Linked DNA regions of Neodiprion lecontei. The protein of the gene in region 1 binds, or shares a complex with, the protein of each later gene. Links are inferred from orthologs where the notes say so. Each region holds a gene or a part of one and is shown in the gene's direction. Other genes may lie near its edges. The genes, in order: actin-related protein 2/3 complex subunit 2 and actin-related protein 2.

The links.
Region 2: actin-related protein 2/3 complex subunit 2 (region 1) and actin-related protein 2 share a complex: the UniProt entries of both Drosophila melanogaster proteins name them as parts of the arp2/3 complex. The link is inferred for Neodiprion lecontei from reciprocal best matches to the Drosophila melanogaster genes Arpc2 and Arp2.

Annotation. Positions count from the first base shown.
Region 1 is NC_060262.1:1,740,532-1,749,074, reverse strand, and holds actin-related protein 2/3 complex subunit 2, read left to right. Parts: upstream 1-4,249; 5' UTR 4,250-4,395; coding exon 4,396-4,469; intron 4,470-5,077; coding exon 5,078-5,171; intron 5,172-5,281; coding exon 5,282-5,381; intron 5,382-5,650; coding exon 5,651-5,837; intron 5,838-5,929; coding exon 5,930-6,150; intron 6,151-6,227; coding exon 6,228-6,429; intron 6,430-6,548; coding exon 6,549-6,576; 3' UTR 6,577-6,677; downstream 6,678-8,543. Other genes in the region: mitochondrial-processing peptidase subunit beta, read right to left, coding at 1,281-1,421, 1,529-1,783, 1,914-2,083, 2,174-2,364, 2,454-2,839, 2,963-3,181, 3,576-3,644; transmembrane inner ear expressed protein, read left to right, coding at 8,460-8,543. UniProt on the Drosophila melanogaster protein: Functions as actin-binding component of the Arp2/3 complex which is involved in regulation of actin polymerization and together with an activating nucleation-promoting factor (NPF) mediates the formation of branched actin networks.
Region 2 is NC_060266.1:18,354,729-18,366,239, reverse strand, and holds actin-related protein 2, read left to right. Parts: upstream 1-3,198; 5' UTR 3,199-3,568; coding exon 3,569-3,616; intron 3,617-4,191; coding exon 4,192-4,302; intron 4,303-4,478; coding exon 4,479-4,496; intron 4,497-5,479; coding exon of another isoform or gene 5,480-5,488; intron 5,489-5,975; coding exon 5,976-6,055; intron 6,056-6,739; coding exon 6,740-6,875; intron 6,876-6,965; coding exon 6,966-7,325; intron 7,326-7,411; coding exon 7,412-7,690; intron 7,691-7,891; coding exon 7,892-8,062; 3' UTR 8,063-9,113; downstream 9,114-11,511. Other genes in the region: putative nuclease HARBI1, read right to left, coding at 10,928-11,222, 11,321-11,511. UniProt on the Drosophila melanogaster protein: Functions as ATP-binding component of the Arp2/3 complex which is involved in regulation of actin polymerization and together with an activating nucleation-promoting factor (NPF) mediates the formation of branched actin networks.

The DNA of each region.
Region 1 (8,543 bases):
AAACTCAATCAAAAAGCATAAGAACAATTTTGTTCATTTTTACTGCAAGATACTCTAAAAATTTCTCACGTATTATATGTACTCGTACAAAAACAAGATTAATGCGGGTGGAATATAGAATTCCCAAATATGAATTATCATATGACCATGTCACAATCATTTATAATGAATTCAAGAGCAATAATCGAAGCCATTGTCATTATGCATTTGCCATTTCCACCCCCTGTGTCATTTGAATCATTTGTTATATTATCTAACAATCATGCAATAATAACAGACGTAAATAATGGAGAGTACAACATTTAGCCTTTAGTTTCAAAATATAAATATATAACGGATACAAGTTAATGAATTGTGAACCTAAAAAATCTTGGCAATGCAAAATAATAAATAAATGCATAATAATTGGTCATCAATCGTGATATTGTTGATGTACTAAAGTTTTGATATACTATCTTCGCATTTACGTATAATTAAGCATTTAGTATTTACTGCGCTTCGCTTTGCCTTTTGTCAATTGAAATTGTTAGTGTCATTTTGTTGTTTTCGACAGTGATTTATTGTTATTGATTTGTATCAACTTAATTACTCTAGTCAGTATTGAATCAAAAACTAATAGTACTGTAACTGTAATAGTTTTTTTTTCCTTCGTCACTTCCTACGTTCTCAAATATGAATTTCCTTTTGGGGGCATTTCATTTTGTATCAGTCTCATATTATCGTGATGTAACGCACAAATATACATGTACTTATACATAATATAATTGATTTTTTCATTCACCAAGATTGCAAAAATAATTACGATTGCCGAAACTTTAATCCTACGAAGTAATTTGCAACAGATGAAAATTTTTCTTATAATAAATTATAAGGAATTTATTGGAGTGGTTTTGAGGAAGATTACATTCATCGTTATTGTGTCATTTATAGCTGGGTGACATTGACAACAGCATTTCAATTATATAAATATCTATTTAATATATTCATACACTGTCTCGAGTTAATGACGAAATGCGACGTAATTTCTCGAAGGGTTGTAACTACATGACATTCAAATTTAAACAAGACAATGTACATACATACATCAGCAAACTATTTTGCTTAATCCTCACAGTAAACATGTAAAATTGTATCAATTTGTTTGAGTCCAACTTCACCGCGAAATGATTAGCGTACGTACTTGATACAATCAATACTGCATTCTACAATTTTACTGTGATATATATGCATGTGGCTAAGAGTTACGTTATTAGTGGCGACTCGCGACTCTGGCCATACGTTTATACTCGGAGCCAATACATCGACTGACGAATACGAGTGTAGTCTGGGAGGTTTTCAACTGGGCCAACAGCTGCGACGACGGGACAACGATCATAGATGTACTTCATACCAATGTCGTGAATGTTCTTTGCGGTAACACTCTGTGGAATTGAACAAAAAGCAGAATATGTTATAAACACAAAACTGTTCCCTTGCGATTTTATGATAGTGAAAATTTATCGATTTGTAAATAATCATCGACACATACGTCTATCCTCTTCTCAAGTTCGTGCAAAGGTATGCGACGGTTATAACACAGCATCTGTCTGCCAATGTCTTCGCAAATCGCGGTAGTTCCGTCCAATTGAAGGAGCATGTTTGTCTTCAAGATATTTCTGGCTCGTTCAACTTCGCGTTCAGTGACGATAGTGCAGAGACGCATCCATTCGTTTTGAATATTGTAAAGCATTAGTTCGCACTGCATTGGGTCGCAAACAAAGTAAACTCCCCACAGTCCTGTATCCTGTAAGAGAATATTATCCCACTTGTTACAGACTAGCTTGATGGTGATTACTAATTTTTTTTCAATAACCAATATTTGAGTAAACCACCACTCCGCTTCAGTTAAACAACTAAGCAAATTGAAAACTCGCCTTGTAGCAGGTATTAAAGCTCTGATAGCTGTGACATAGTCCCATTTCGGCTGAGGCCTTGGCCAAATTACTAGCGTTGTTGGCTCCACCGCCCTGATTACGATCCCAAGCACCCATCAAAGTGTTGGCGACCATCAAGGGAATGTTGTCAGCGTCGGTCCATCCCGCGCCTTAAATTACACGATCAGAGAGATCAAAAATTGCGCACGGACTTTCACACTTTGGGAGAAAAGTCTGAGGTAATTATCTGATCTTGCTACCTTCAACAGCAATAGCTATATGAGCCAGAGGAATGCTGTCGTCACGGACACGGACTTCTGATCCAGTGTAGCGGCAATGATGAATTAGTGGGATTTCTCCCTCGATTTTGTTATCCAAACCACTGAAGTGTTTCTTAGCAAGATCAACGAGCTGCGCATGGTCAACGCCGCCTGCACCAGCCAGCACGCACCTGTGCACAACAGTAAACTTTGTTTACTAGAATTCTTGAATACGTGTGTAGTTTGGAAAACCGAATGCAGTTATATTCAATAATAATACCTTGAGGCCTTATAGTGATTCTTGACATAGGTAACAAGGTCATTCCTGGTGATGCTCTTGATGTTTTCAGTCGGTCCAAGAATGGTTCTGCCCAACGGAGTTCCCTGGTAGGCGACTGAGTGTAAGTGATCGAACACGACTTCCTGCAGATTTGTCTCCACCTCCTGCATTTCCCTGAGAATCACTCCCCTCTCTCTCTCAATCTCGCTCTCGCCTAGCTTAGAGTTCTGGATTATATCGCTCAGGATCTCGATCGCCTTTGGCACGTCCTGGGACAAACATTTTGCATAGAACACAGTCTGTTCCCTGCTCGTGTAGGCATTCAAGTGAGCTCCCATGTTCTCAATTTCCAGTTCCAGGTCTGTCTGGGAGCGTTTGGCAGTTCCCTGAAACAGATGTTAAATATTTAAAAAAATAAATTGCGCACGGAGCTTGCACAGATGCAAAAAATGCTGATCTTCAGGTTTATGCTCCTTCCGATACGGACGTTCTATCCATTAAAACCCTACCTTGAAAGCCATGTGTTCCATGAAGTGAGCAACTCCGTTGTTCTTGTCGTCTTCATACCGACTTCCGGCGTCGATCCACAGCCCAACGGTTGCCGTAGCAGCGCCGCTGTCTTCGCTGGCAACTCGCATGCCATTTTCAAAGGTCGTGGTCTTCGTGGCAGGCTGATTGATCAATGTCTGCTGAAGCGATGCTGCAGTGGACCTCCATTGCTTGGAGATCTGAAAAGGGGATGAGCTATAGGTTTTGCAGAAAAAGGAAGACTGCCAATTTTGAATTCTAAAATAAACACTGGGTATGGCAAGAACGTTAATTTCTCATCTCTTTTCCACCCATTATTGATCGTGGCATCGGCGGTACGGTGTATTATTGGATTCAGGATCGGAAGCTAGAATAACTTGAGCGATACTCGTGCGAATTGACGCCGTAAATATGAATAAATTGTGAGCTACATTACGTAAGGGGATACTACTTTGAAGCAGAAACAAAATTTGACTGTCGAGAACGGTTTTGCTCGCCGAGTAATCCCGTAAAAGATTTCCGAAAAATGTTGTGCTCGGCATAAGGCGAGACATCGACGAATCGTTGCGAGGAGTGACAGGTAGATGATTTTACCTTGACGTGACTGGTTTTATTCGAATAAGTTCGCAGCGCGGAACTAATCCTTAGCAGACGAGTCGCCATTTTCAGGTCTGGTGGTGTCTACCATGAAACACGAACTAAGAACGAGGATCTAGATGATACAAACCACTTTGCCGAGGTATCGCGATCTTCTAAGTGTTCAACTGTCGGAACGTCATCTTGTGGATTTTGCACAAACTGACTGTGAGTAGTAGCGAAAGCTAATAAAAAGAAATCGGTGCAAGGTGATTATATTCGTTCGATCTAGGCGCTAAATAAATTCTGTCATGTTTCACAGAGTAAAACGCCTGTCAAATGTAAATTAAAAAATTTCTGAAAATTCTTGCGCTATATTCGTTCTCTTCTGATTAGATTCCATTGCCAGGCCTCTGGCGTGTGAAATATATGTATATATTGTAATTTCATCTATGACTTGATCTAATTCAGTCAACGCTCCCATGTTTGAGATTGTTGGTAAATTTTGTATTTAAATTTCAAAACACCCGCCTTGAGGTCGGCCATCTTTGACTTTTGGAGCGCTGCCTGGGGGATGTCGAGATGAGGAATTGATTGTTGTTTACTTCTTTTCCCGCAGGAGGGTTCGAGGGGCCGGCCTAGCTCCAATGTTAACGCGGATTTCCTGCCGCTGGAGCGGTTGAGGATCCGAACCCCACTACACCCAGTCGAAGTGGAAAGATTAGAAATTAGTCAGAGCCGTCGTATTCGGTATTCATGGTTACAACAGCACTATATAATTGTTAATTATTGTATTATAGCATATTATATTCTAATAATAAAAATATTAGTCGTAATAATGATCTTACTTGAGATCAACAATAGGATAATAGAGGAAACGTTAAATAACAAAATAAAGAATGCCTTGGCTGGGTAAGTCTGTTTCGATGTTAAAAATTATACGAATAACTTTTTTTCCAACCGTTTATTCGTTTCATTCACCTAATTCCCTTTTTTTATTATTATTATTATTTTTTTTTATTTCTTATCCATATCAAACTAACTTTGAGGTTGGGGCGGTGTCTCGCTTTCGATATACCGCGGCTCTTTATATATCCTTATCTGATTAATTGCGAGAAACCGTTTTAACTCACTTCCCGGGGAAACTTGCGATTAGGAATCGCAAATGACAGAGAGTCAGGCCCGACCCTAGACTAACCTCACCCTGTCTAAACTTACTGGCTTTGACAGAATCTGTCAAGTGATCAAAACTTTTCTTTCCCATCTCGCCTACTTTACGCACCGATCTGCAAACTCTTATCTCTCGTTGACCACATCCTCCCACATTTTCACTCTGATGTGCAGATATCAAGAAGCTCCAAAAATAGAACAATTTTTCACACCTTTCAAATTGGAGCGTTCATTATGTTGAGACTTTAAATGCTACCGCATGACCGTTTGAATCACAAGGGGATCATGTTAATACGCGAAGCGCTGCATTTCGTTACTGCGATACATATTTGCTCATTTTCTTGTTACAGGCATAAACCGGAATCGATAGATGTCAAAATAGCTGACTTTGACGGAGTTTTGTTCCACATTTCCAATGTTGGAGGCGACAAAACCAAAATTAGAGTACGTATTCTGTCAGTCAATGACGAATACTTAAATCGTATCGTTGCCAAACTAGTCCACATGAAAATATTTCTGCACTCTCATTTTATCCGTATCTTTATTCCACACAGATTAGTATCTCGCTCAAGTTTTACATGCAGTTGCAAGAACATGGTGCTGACGAATTGCTCAAACGCGAGTATGGCCCTTTACTTACTACCGAAGAGGATGGTGAGTTGCAATTTTTCCAGAGTAATGATTTGTTTAAAATCCGTGGTGCTGATTGTTACTCTTGTTCCTTTATTTTGATTTAGCAAAAAATCTTCTGGCATATTGCCTTTGATTAAAAAAAAAAAAAAAAAAAAAAAATGAAAAGACTAATATTGTGGACTAATTTCTATCTCTTTGGATGTTTTCCTGTACATCAAGGCTCACTCGTTATTCTACGCTTTGCAGTGCCCTGTGAATGAATATAACAAATTATTTATCTTCTTTCCAAGGATACAATGTGTCGTTGCTGATAGATTTAGAGAACTTGCCCGAGGATTGGGAAGCGTTGGTCAAAAATGTTGGCCTGCTGAAAAGGCACTGTTTTGCAAGTGTATTTGAAAAATATTTTGACTTCCAAGAAGCAGGCGAGGAAGGCCATAAAAGAGCAGTAATACAATATCGAGATCAGGAAACACTGTGAGTATCGTAACAAAATGTAACACCATTTTTGCTTTAGTTGAAATCAAGTTCGTTGAGTCAGGAGAAATTCATTTTCCTCCTATTTCCAGGTACGTAGAGGCCAAAAGTGACAGAGTAACCGTGGTATTTAGTACAGTGTTCAAAGATGAAGATGACATAGTTATCGGCAAAGTGTTTCTACAAGAACTCAAGGAAGGGAGACGGGCGAGTCACACCGCGCCACAAGTCCTCTTCAGTCATCGGGAGCCACCGTTGGAGCTTCAAGATTCTGACGCGGCGGTCGGCGATAATGTGGGTTACATTACTTTTGGTAAGTACTTTTCGAAATGCTTTTCCAAGTGCTCGTTACTTATCATTCGACAACTTATTATATGCCTTTTACGGCAGTGCTGTTCCCGCGACACACGAATCGGGAGGCCCGTGACAACACCATCGACCTGATTCACATGTTCAGAGATTACCTGCATTACCACATCAAATGCAGCAAGGCGTACATACACTCAAGAATGCGTGCCAAGACCTCAGATTTCCTCAAAGTACTAAACCGCGCGAGACCCGAGCCTAAAAACATCGAAAAGAAAACCATAACGTGAGTATAAATTACAGTACTTGACAAAAAATCGCTAGCAATTGTTTACCTAGAATTCTGATCCGTAATTGCGACCCTCTTTGCTAATTTTTTTTTCACTTATTTTTGTCTTCTTGCAGAGGTCGAACGTTCATTAGGAAGGAATGAGCCTACGAGTCAATCGATAATGTTAATACTAATTAAAACAGAGATGAACGAGGGACGTTCAATTACCTTGTGTCGTCATCTAAGGTCCACGAATACAAAAACAAAAAGATGATTCGTCCTTGAAGCGACGGTCCCGTTTAATAAAATTAGTAAGCCAAGAGCTTCCCATCCCACAGGCCCGAGTTTATGCTATAGTATTTGGCTATACAGGCTAGACAGGCGATAGTTTGAGTGTACAACAATTCGTAGTAGATTCTTGTAATTTTTGTTTGTGTAATCCGTTAATATTTACAATTTCGTCTTTAACTATTAATTAATTATTGCCATCGTACCTTCTACTGCATTTAACATGCCTAACTTCGAGTAATTTTTTGTGTATAAGTACTTTTCAATGCATTTCTTTTTCAATAATTTAACTAAAGATATTTACAATAACCTTTACTAAACTTTTAGTTTCTCAGTTTGAGCCAACTTATTCTGATGTATGAACATATTTAATTTAAAACTAATTTTACAACAGCACCCTAGTTCGAACTAGCAACGTTAATGATAAGTGTTCAGTCTTAACGTAGTTGAAATAGTGCATTTCAAAATCAGAATTTGAACGAGGAAATTTTAAATACCTTGACTCATATTCAAAATGAAATTGAGCAAAAAAAAATAGGAAGTCCAATACGTGACGTTTGGGACATTTGAGTTGGAATATTTGAGTTACAAAATTCTGCAATAATATTCATCATCACGATGATCTTTCCAATTGCAGAAAGCAAAACTTGTTCCTGACTATTGTAAAGAAGGTATTTTTTTTTTTTGCATATCGAAACCTTTTCTCATACGTCAGCACTACTCGCTAGTCATTTAGACAAAGTAGCATCCAAGTTGTTGCGATCAAAGTGACGATGTGTGGGAACTGTTTGAAAATTCGCTATTTTCAGTGGTTTCATTTTGATCAAACTACATGACTATCCTGTATCGCACAAACACTCTGACGTCTCTAGCTCCTGTTTAGGAAAACTCTGTAATGAAAATACGGACTAGTGACGCCAGGTAATATTGGAACTGGAAAAAATGTTGTGGTTTACCCTGATCCTATCTACTGTAATTATAAAATTATGAAATTGAAAACAGAAACTAGTACATAATCTAAAAACAGAAAGCTTCAGACCGAAAAGAAACGATAACAGATAATCAAGAAATTTAACAAATAAAAAAATGAAGTGGATACCGTTAAACGACGTAGTTTTTTGCGTCGTACCCGCGTAACATAGTACATTGTTTTTGTAACAAATGATTATTTTTATTTCCAATCTTTACCTATTATTATTATATAATAATTATTATTATAAGGTAATAAAAAAAATATTACAAATAACGAAATGCAGTGCAAAACAAACAAATAATATTTAGCCCCTTTTTAAGTTTGCTAATACTTTCCAATGACGACATAAACTTAATAATGGCAATAATAACTCTCTCCTCGGAGTCACGGAGATATTGATCTTTGATCAAAGAATAGGTTGAATCATGCGAAGCAGTAAATTAGGGAGTGCCAGTTGGAAATATTCATTAGTAACCATGCCACACCCTCCATGCCACTCAACTTGATCACAAACCCATTCTACATTTTCAGTGAGATAGGATTTTTCGTCCGGAATACACTGAACTAAATGCCTCTGTGCAACAACTGTGCCAACTAATAGAACACTTTTCAACGAATTTTATTTTTGTAAAAGAAAATAAAGTCCTCTGCCAGGGGTTTTTCCGTGCAGATAGTTATTCACTTACCAATTTAAGCAGCCAAGATTTTGTCAAGATATATCGACACAATGTAACGAAGACCCAGTGTATTATGTGAACAGATAGAAAATTCACCCGAATTTTCAATGGACAAAGAAACAAATTTGACAATGCCAAGCTCCGCTTCCTCGACGTTGACCGTGCCACCCTGTTCTCCGAACGAAGTGCCG
Region 2 (11,511 bases), on another chromosome or scaffold:
TAAAAAGTTGACAACTTTTTATACCGAGGGCAATCGGGTGCACTTGCACCGAAGAGTTCAAAGAGCGTCCAACCAGGAGATTATCAAGTGCGACGAACGTTTCCAAGAAACGATAATATATTCGTTGTGAAACTTGCAATCGGCGTAAAACGTTCGACTGAATAACGCGCCAATTTCTCACGAAATGTTTGTCAAATTTACGTCGTCTTTTAGTTGAATCATTTTCTAAAAAAATTTTCGAGCCGCAAATTTCTTTCCGCTTCTCTAAACTCGCGATTTCATATATTTCGATTCATTCCAGAGATCGGAGTCCAGAAAATCTAACAATTGGATAATTTCTGTACATCAAAATTTTTCAAAATTTATCCCCAAGGGCTTCTCAGTAAATTTGTTTTACTAACCCTAGCTAATTTACCGACGTATCTCACTTGGCTTTGGATCTATCTCGATCCATCGATGGTAAAGCAGATCGTGAACAAAAATTATACAAACTTATAGGTGAATGAATTTTTTCACCTAAAATTTCACTAACATTGCATTCGATCTATAAGTATCCAATTTTATCTATGATCAATCAATTATCGACTAAAATGTTAAGCAGTAATGAGCTTGGGCGAAAATTTTACAAACTTTTATTCCACTTTCCTTACACATCTATAACATTTTATAATTATACTATACGTAGGTATGTAATAAAAATTACTTATACTTACGTATAGATCTGTGATGGTGAGATTTAAAAACAAAAAGAAAAGAAAATTCATGGTGGAAATTCATGGGATCTTTTTTTTCCCCTCTCTCCCTTATTTGCAAATTTTTTACCCATTATCCAATATTAAAATACACAAAAAAAAAAGAAAAAATAAACAAAAGAAAACGTTGGAAGAATATCATTTCGTATAAATGGAGAAAAAATGTAATGGTAATATTAAAAACACGAACAACTGTGTGACAATTATTACCGGTGAATACAATGCGGACGATTGCTACATTTATGAATTTGGCATTACGTTATTTGCGCCGGCACTTCGAAGCATGCGATGTTTTTCTGGCCCTCACTCAAAGCCCAGTGGACCTTCAGGATGAGCTGTAATGAAACGAAGAAGGTAGAAATTAAATAAAAAAATCAGCTCAAGGTGTGATAAATTTAACGTTCAAGTTCAAATTGGACTAAAACGTTTAAAAAAAAACCTTGTCGAATAAGTGAGACGCTTGAATATAAAAAAATCCATCAATTATATAATTTTTTTTGTTTCTACAATTTTTTTTTATATCTATTCCAATTACCATGTTTGCATTACATAACAAGATTAGAATATACAAATTTTTAAACGAAAACTGAAATAAAACCGCCTCGGAGATAATAAACAGCGGAAATTTATATGATGGATACGTGCGTGCGCAGCTGAATTTGCTTTTTACGTGTTTTTTATTTATTCATCTATTCGTTTCTTCCCACGTAACAATGAATATTTCAGAAAACTTTCTGAAATCTTTCATGAAAGGAAAGAAGTATATCAAAAATAGTTCAAAAAAATGTTACTGCAAGTTGAAAATGTCCGCGCCAGAAACTTGTAAAAGATTTCTTGATTGTTGTTGTTCTTAAAAAGATTCTCATAATGTTTCTATAAAATATTTTATTGAAAGTTTCTTAGAAAGATTTCATGTTATATGGAATAACTTCCTTAACAAATTATTGCCAGATATATTCATCATTTGTTCGTCGTTATTAAAAGGATTATATCTAATTCATCAAAATTTACCTTTGATTCATAGAAATTATAGTAAAATTGTGTAGGGAATTTTCTCACTTTAGCGGCCCTTAATTGTCTTCATTTTCGATCGAATCGAACTTTTCCAGGACATAATATAATGGCATAGTCGGTAACTTGTTACATTGAGTAACTGTATTCTATTTTGAAAAAGCCAGCTATATCTGTATTTGTTTGCTACAAGAATTGAATAGTAACTTGCCGACATCATCAATCACAGTAGATCAGTATATGATCTATTATGCCGGTACGACTTACTGCCGTCTTTTCATACCGACGAACACTGCGAGTGTGGCATTTTACCGACGTACACTTAGCCTAGCTGGCCCCTGAATCTGCAAGAAATATCACCCGAGGCTGGCTCTTTTAAATACTATATGGTTATGGATATGGATATCTTAGGGCCTATGGTTAGTGCAGTTAGTGGCAGCGCTAATACCTTCTAGTCGGTACCATAGACAGAGCATGGACTGCGCTTTCCCTAGTAGTAGAAAAGAGACAACCACGGTCTTACATACAGGTCTCCAGCTAATTTTTGGTGGTGGGAGTGACTCTGCTAAGAGTACCCGTGTTTGCAGTTCTTAATGTGACCGTCAAAGTCCTTGCGATCTAGGGTACAATGTACAGCGTATACAGCAATACTTGGAAAATAGAGGTTATGTTCTCAGCATAAACAAGTCATTAGTACCTTTAAAAAATACCCCTAGATTGTTGCGCTCACCACTGTCAGAACGTGAAATGCAAAAACGAGTAACGTTAGTGGACCCTTCCCCCACCACCAGAGCTGCCAGACCTGTATGTAAGAACGTGGAGACAACACTCTGCGATAAAACTTGTTCGCACTTTTGAGGTAACGTAACAGGAATTGTCTGAATGCGATTTGAGCTCCTCTTACGGAAAAAGGGACATTTCACCATAAGATTCGATAAAAGAAAGGCGGCGATCGTAACCTATAAGGCCCCGTGCTATCAACCTTAGAGCATACTGTACATGCTCTAAGCTATAAACATACTCCGTAAACACTAAAATATGCATTCTAAGCGAATGAAAACTGAGTAATTGTTTTAACTTCAAGCGACATTAAATCCGAAAAAAAGGTAACAAACGGTGGATCGTAAGATCATAGAGGCAAGGAGGAGAAGCGCTGTACGGGCTTACACCGCAAGAGGCGCTTAAATCGCACCTTGCCAATTCCTCTCACGTTGCCCCAAAAACTGGGCCAACTTTTAAGCTGAGCTTTGCTTGAGTGTTGTCCATGTATGCAAGAAATATATCCCACTCTGAAATACATAAAATGTATAAACGCATTTGCGTCATCGAACAATCCAATCTGTGATTTTCTAGTGGATTTACTCTGCCGAATGATGGCCGAGTGACCGGATCACGCAGCAATGTAGTTACCAATCTGCGTCACGAGTACTTTATGTTTGTGCAAAACTGAACCATCGACACTGAACCGTGTATTTCCCGATTGACAGATTGAATGGCTCCGCAGGAGGGCCATTATTTTCGAATAATATTATCTCTGATTAGTCGTTGATTAATTCGATCGAATTTTACTACACTCTATAAGCTTTGAAGTGGTAAAGAAATCTTCACACAGTATCACTTCTAACTAAATTTCAATGTATTAAAACGCTTTGGAAACATTTGTTTCCGTATACCGGTGACGCCCTTCTGGGTGTAGAAATTGTGGACTGATTAACTGATTAGTCATACTAATCAAGCATTAAATCAACGTTAGAACCCTAGCACAAACAGACAAGTGTCAAACGTTGAACCAAAAATTAATTAAAATGGATAGCCAAGGACGGAAAGTAATCGTGTGTGACAATGGAACTGGGGTAAGGTTATGCACATGTATATATTTATTTTATTGTACTAACGTACCTACTCTGCTTTCATTTATTGACCACATCATCAGTCAGTAAATTCGCTTCACCTGGCTTCACATAATCATTTTGTAATTGATTCACTTACAGATTTTTTCAGTTTCATAGTCTTTATCATGTCATTTAAATATCGACAAACTCCGTAGTGAAAATATTTGAATTACTAGTAAACCCTTGTGGAATTCAGAAAAATCTGTGCCGTAACTAAAATTAAAAGTAGTTTGTGTACGAGAATGAAAATTTAAATTTCATATTATAAGTCCATTTTTTTTTTCTTGACTCGTGGTGATTCTTGCCAAATTTTCAAGGTTTAAGGGTAATATTGTTCATTCGCCTTAGATTACAATTCATGATTAGTTCCTAAGTATGGTTGTTTAATGAAATTGAGTTTTCAACAAATGCTGAATTTGTTTACGTAACGTTTCATTGATTGTAATCTCTACAGTTTTGCATACGTACAGTGAGATATTCAAAATAAAATTACATTTGTATTTGATTTCTCACAAATAAGATTTTTTCTATTTCAGTTCGTCAAGTGCGGATATGCAGGCTCAAATTTTCCAGCACATATATTTCCCTCGATGGTTGGACGGCCTATTATAAGAGCCGTTAACAAGATTGGAGACATCGAAGTTAAGGTATATTATCCAAGAAATTGTTTCTGTCCTACAGTTTCATATTGTTTAAAAACATTGAAAGTTGGAGAATAATTATGTTAATTACATATCTTTTATGCATCTAAAATTCAGTGTCTGTCTAAGAAATAAGAAATGAAACTTTTGAATAGTTTAATTAAAAAAACTGAAAATTTCAGGAGGAATTTTATGTCCGAGTAAGTTACTCCGCACAGTTACATGTGTCAGTGTGTCATTCTGATCATTTTGTGTTTATTTGATGTTTATTAATGAATAATAATATCAGTAATAACAAATTTCAGTTGTATAACGTGATTTGAATGGTTACTCGTCATTTTGTTCTTTTACCTTACATTGCTTTTGGCCATGGAAAATAACCGGGATGAAAAAATATACTTCAGACATAATGTATAAAGAGACGGATGCAAAATTTATTCAAATTCTTTCCTCCCACACAATGGAAACTCACACGATTCAACTTCGACAGTAAAAAAAGCATCATTAAAAACTCAAAGTCAATACTTGAAACTACTTGAAAATTTCTATCTTACCAAGTCCTAAAAATATTTTAAAACCATTTCTCGTATCTCTCAAACATTTCGCAAATTTTCTTTTATATACATATTGTCAGTTGATCTGTTGCTTCCACCTTACACAATCAAAGGAAACAAATTAGAAACGAATTATGTTGGGTGTGCCTTTAACCAATCATAGATTGCTGCTATCTTTGTCAATTATGAACAGAACTAATTAAAAATGTTCTGCTAAAGAAAAAATTTAAAGGTGTCCTCAAACACCAGTCGAATTTAAAATGTACAGATTTTGACATTGTATCTATTGACGTTTTAAAATCGATATTCATCTATATGATAAATGATGTCACATTTGCTATAAAATTGCAGAAATTTACTTACGTTTTCTTAATTTACTAATTTCCATGATTGCTGTATGAGATTAAATATAAATGCAACAACAATAAATGCACAACATCTTTGTGGTATTTAATCAAAATCCATTGTTGCTAATTTTTTCGACGAATGTCAAGTTGGGATGTACGTATACTTAAAAACGAAAATTGAAACAAAAAAAAAAAAATGTTCAAGTTAAATTTGTTTCAATATGTAAACGTATATTACATAATCAGTCTATACATGTTTGTGTGTTATTACCGCTCGCATAGGATATGCCAGTAAGTTTGACGACATGTTATGGTTATTCAATATCCTGGAAAAATTCTATAGTTGTGTAATAACTTTTTTTTGGCACATAACGAATAAGTATAATTTCCATGGCGTTATTTTGTTCTATGCACTATTACGTAAAATGCTGTAAACTGTATAGAATGGAAGTGAATTCAATATACTTCTGCAAATAAATACAATTGATGATAACTGCTAGTATGTATGTACATATGTGTATGTGTGTATAGGAATGATTGTTATTCAATCAACTAACAGCATGCACGTTTTTTTATCCAAAGCGCACAGACGTGAGTTCCTTTAAAATTATCCTAAAACTTGCATACGATGTGTAGTATGAAAATAACTGAAGAATGTAACGTGTTTGGTAACGCAATTTTACTACGCAAAAGAAATTCCCTGCGCTATTCAGATGAACGAGAAATCGTTCAATTCGAAACAGTCGCAAGACCTACAGCCGAGATTGCTTTTTTGCAGGACTTGATGGTAGGCGACGAAGCGAGTAAACTTCGTTCAATGCTCGAAGTTAGTTACCCTATGGAAAATGGAATTGTCAGGTGAGCTTTATCAAACGGAACAGTTTTCTATCTGCACTTGAATTAACTCCTTCCCAAAAATGAACTTCAACCCTGACTGAATCCATTTCAAACGATACTGTCAGGTCAACCACAAGTCTATCTATTTGGGCATAAACATGATCTTTTCGTGAAATTATATTGTGAGTATTCTCATTTTGAAAGGCAAAATCGTTGATCGTCAAAAAAAAAAATAGCAACCTCTAATTTTCATTAAGTGCTGTAATTACCTACGATATTTAAATTGTTTATTCAAATTCCAATGAACGTTCTTCATTTTGTTTAAATATTTACTGGTATATTCAAAATACTTTGTAATTAACTAGCCGCTGTTGTTCCGTAAATCCAAAGTCAGTATAAACAACGATCCTTATGTTAATTGTAAACAGTTTTACAATTCTGTAGTGGATTTCAAATGGAAATCAAAAATTAAGAGAATTATAAAATAAAAAGCAAACTTGTCTTTACACATTTTATGATTTTCTATTATCAGCATCCCTTATACTCATAACTAGAGTACTGATAACTTTGTAAAAAAATATATTTGTCATGTATATATTATATACATGTATAGAAAGAGAGAGATTGATGCTATGACTTGTGTTTGATCTGCCTATGTGATTGCAAAAGCGATAAGTTCAAAATTCAACGTACTCAAATTAACAGGAATTGGGAAGACATGTGCCACGTATGGGATTACACGTTTGGCAAAGAAAAAATGAATATAAATCCAAAAGAGTGCAAAATATTACTGACAGAACCGCCAATGAATCCAACAAAAAATCGTGCGAAGATGATAGAGGTGAGGGAGTTTTCCTTAAATTGACAATTATGGTAGTGAAACCAGTAATCATGAACGTTGATAATTGATAAATTCATTTTATTTATGCAGGTAATGTTTGAAAAGTATGGATTCGATGGCACATATATCGCCATTCAGGCTGTTCTCACGCTCTACGCACAAGGTTTGCTCAGCGGAGTAGTTGTGGACTCTGGAGACGGTGTGACTCACATTTGCCCGGTTTATGAAGAATTCGCCCTGCCGCATCTGACGCGAAGATTGGATATAGCTGGGCGTGATATTACTAGATATTTAATAAAACTGTTACTGTTGCGAGGCTACGCATTCAATCACTCGGCAGATTTTGAGACTGTTAGAATGATGAAAGAGAAGCTGTGTTATATTGGATACAATATTGAAACAGAGCAAAGGTTAGCCCTTGAGACGACGGTCCTTGTGGAACCTTACACAGTGAGAAATATTTCTTGATCTTTATTTCTACATGCTTCGGAATTTTAATAATAGAAACGGAAAAAATTAAGTGAGAAAAATTCCAGCTTCCAGATGGCCGAGTTATCAAAGTTGGCGGAGAACGGTTCGAAGCACCCGAAGCTCTTTTTCAACCACATCTAATCAATGTCGAAGGCCAAGGAATAGCGGAACTTGTTTTCAACACTATCCAAGCCGCGGACATTGATATTCGAAGTGAACTTTACAAGCATATTGTTCTCAGCGGGGGTAGCACTATGTATCCTGGACTTCCATCCAGGCTGGAACGTGAACTGAAGCAACTCTACCTTGAACGAGTTCTCAAAAACGATATTGACAAATTATCGGTTGGTTTCAAGCTATTTGAAATTCATTGACAGTACCTTTCAATATCACGTGTTCAATTTTCTTTTACATATGTTATTTTTTTATTATTTTTTTTTTCCCCATGTTGAATTGAATCAAATACGCTTGGGTCAATGCCTCCAATCAATTGCACGGTTTTTTATGGAAATTTTGTCGATTCATTGGTCGAACTTTTATTTCAGAAATTTAAGATCAGGATCGAAGATCCTCCAAGGCGCAAGGACATGGTGTTTATTGGTGGTGCAGTGTTGGCAGAAGTCATGAAAGACCGTGACTCGTTCTGGATAACGAGGGAAGAATATGAAGAAAAGGGTCTTGGCGTACTAAACAAATTGACTGCCCGTTCTAGTTAAAGAAATATTCGTTTAGAATAAAAAACGAAACGAAACCCAAATCGTATGAGATGATCATACAATGAAAATTTTCATAAGTGACACAAAGTGAAGGATTTTTGTAACTGGAACTGGTTACAAAGTATCCAATTCCATTTTGGAAATGTGCTTGGATATTATTACACACCGTTTAAAATTAATTATTAATACTAACTGTGTATTTCGACAATGAAAAGTTGAATAACATTTAAACATTCAAAATTTCTGTTAAAAAATCAAACCTTTATTTTTTTTTTTCGTCATTATTAAATATGACAGATAGCGATAAGATAAGACTCTACAGAGTGAACCAAGTTCGAGGGTACGACGTGTTACAAATGAAAGATTATCATTCATATTATTGCAATTAGATATTGGTTCTATGGTATCAACGGTCAATTTGATAAGCAGTATAATTTCATCGCCTAGATTTAGAAATGATGCAATGCCTAAACGGGGCTTTTCGCGTCAACTAAGCCACTTTTGTTCGTAAAATAAAAATTAACTGTCAAAAACTCAGTCTTCCTCTGGCACCTCAATGCTGTAGGTCACGGCGATACAGACATACGTTAATTTTTTTTTACTAGAAGATCATTGGAACGATTTTATATAGAGTGTGAAAAATTCTCTACTGAATGCAAAGAAGGTGTCTCAGTTGTCGAGTTAAACAACTCACTGACAAGAAGTAGCAAATTGTGTAATAAATATTGATTATGTATGAATTATTCTAGCACTATGAACCGTACTTTCTACATCTACTTAAAAATAGTTCTAACCAGGTGCATTTATAAAATTCATTAAGTCAAGAAGGATTTAAACGAAACAGATACATAGATATATCGATATGTAGGATCGTTTGGAATGCTTTCATTTTTAGTGTATATTTTAGATAATATTATTCTTATTATTATTATTACCATTATTATCCAGATATCACTTCATTGTTGTACATACATAGCCTCGGCTAAACGAGACAGTTTTGTATTTTGGATCAGAACTTCAGCAAAAATAAATTTACCTATTGTAAAAGTTACTACCTCTGTATGTATATATATGTAGTGGAAAACTGTACATAATGTACGCATAAAAATTGTAAATGTGTTCGCTATTCGAAATAGGCAATTGAAAATCATTAAGGATGTTGCCTCAAACCCATTGAATGAGATTTCTAGCAGTCATGATTTATCGCTTGATGTTGACATTTTGCAACAATAGAATTTTAAACTCCATTCCATCCTATTCTCCTTGTCAAGCGTATCAAATTTTTGGTTTTAACAAACAGCGTTAAATAATTATAAACTAGTTATATTACATTAAATTTATATTATTTTTATTATGCAAAATTTTAAACCTTTCATAATAAAGAAAAAAAATACGCACGGACACTTATACTTTGGCCACATGTTGATTCAAGATATATTGAACCATTCTACAAGTGTTTAAAATCTTTGTAATCATGTGAAATCAATGAATTTACGACAGTTTTGCAACACTTTTTAGTATTCTGTGGACTTTTTCGAAATCCTGAAGACCTTCGGAAATATCTGAAATATTTGGATTTGTCATTCTAACAATCACTGTTCAAACTGACAATGAGCAGAATTACGTCTTTCACAGCTGATTTTACGTTCGAATCTCATTTTTTGAAAAGTAAACCAAGCGTTAACAATCTGTATTCAGTAATCACAAAGCGAAAAATTTTCCAACATATTTAAAATAAAAATAATACAATTAGAACATTTTTAATTTTGAATTTTATATGTGTTGGCACCATCGAACATGCGGCCATTCATCGCTTTGGCGGTAACGTTACCAGCTTTGCCGTTGGGCACTTTCCTTTTACATCATTGTTTGACACATTACGACACCGAGTAATTTCATTGGCCTATTCCGTTAGATCCAACCAATAAAATCACTTGGGCCCGTATTCATAGTCAGGTCTCAAGGCGGTGCTTAAGACCGTCTTGGTGAAGATCGTCTTATTCGTTCAAGACCGTCTTGAGATGCTATGTATTCATAGTCGGAAAACAAGACGGTCTTCGTCAAGAATTTGGTCTCAAGCGCTAGCTTATTTCATTCAAGACCGTCTTGACGAAGACTGAGCTTGAGACGGTCTTATTCGACGTTCGGTTATGTTCGGAATATTTCCGATGTATCCCCCAATAAGATGCTCGGATTTTATTTCTCAGCCTGTGCAAGATATTCGTATAGGCATGCAGCTCTTGAGTATTTTTATAGTTTATGAACACAACAACGTTAGCGCCACGTAGAGGAACTAAAAAACGGGAACAAATCGCGTGCAATTTTTTGTAGTGGGTGTATAGCTATAAAACGAAGAAGAAGAAAAAGAATTTTATAGTGTATGTTTATGTGTATATAATTTTTATATACACATATTTTAACCTATATCATTATGTAAATCTCTATACCGGTTATTGATAAATAAATTGTATTGATATGTTAAAAGGAATCCCGGTGCAGACTTGCAAAAAAATGCGCGTGAAAGGGACAACCTTTGATCTTCAAAGTTCAAAAGAGCAACTTTAGTTCTATTTACTGGCTATATTTATAATGTATTGAATATTTTTACGTAGACAAATTTTCATAAGTATTATCGTAACTATAAGACTGACGCTTAGTACAATTACGTACATATCAGTATTTTCATGAGTAAGTGAGGGGTTTAAAAATAAAATGAGAACCAATGATAAGTTATGAGTAAAATATGTATTCTAATGTTAACTGTTTGTACAGATTAAATTCAATTTTATTAAATATTTGGAGTATATTCATTCTAAAATCAATTAGTCTTTACAATTAAATTAACTTGATATACATATATTTTGATTAAATGAATAACCGTTCGATTAGAGCTTCGCGTATTGCAAAACCCTCTCCAGGCTGCCAATGCGGTGCTTGAGGTGGCAATTCATCCGCTTCTTCTTCCTCGATGCGATTATCTTCCGGAAGAGCATTATCCAATGTTAGTGATAAATTGTGTAGTACGGCACAAGCTACAACAATTGTGGTAGAGCACAACAATTTGGTTCCCAAACCTCGGGATAGGCAAGGAAAACGTCGCTTCCAAACTCCAAATGTTCTTTCAACAATTTGCCTTGTTCTGCTTTGTACGTTGTTATACCTATCAAGATACCGACTTGGTTAATTCACACATGTATACTTTGTCAATTTTATGACTACTTATCGAAATCTAAAGTAATGCGATAATCTTTATCTTACCTTTGTTGAGCATCTGTAATTGGATTTGCCAGTGGAGTCAGCAGAAATGGCAAGCACGGATAGCCGGCATCTCCAACCAGGGTTCCAGTAAGTTGTCTCTCATGATACCGCATGTAAATTCGTGAATTTTGGAATATTTGACTGTCATGGTTACTTCCAGGCCATTCCGGAACCACATCCAAGAATTCCAT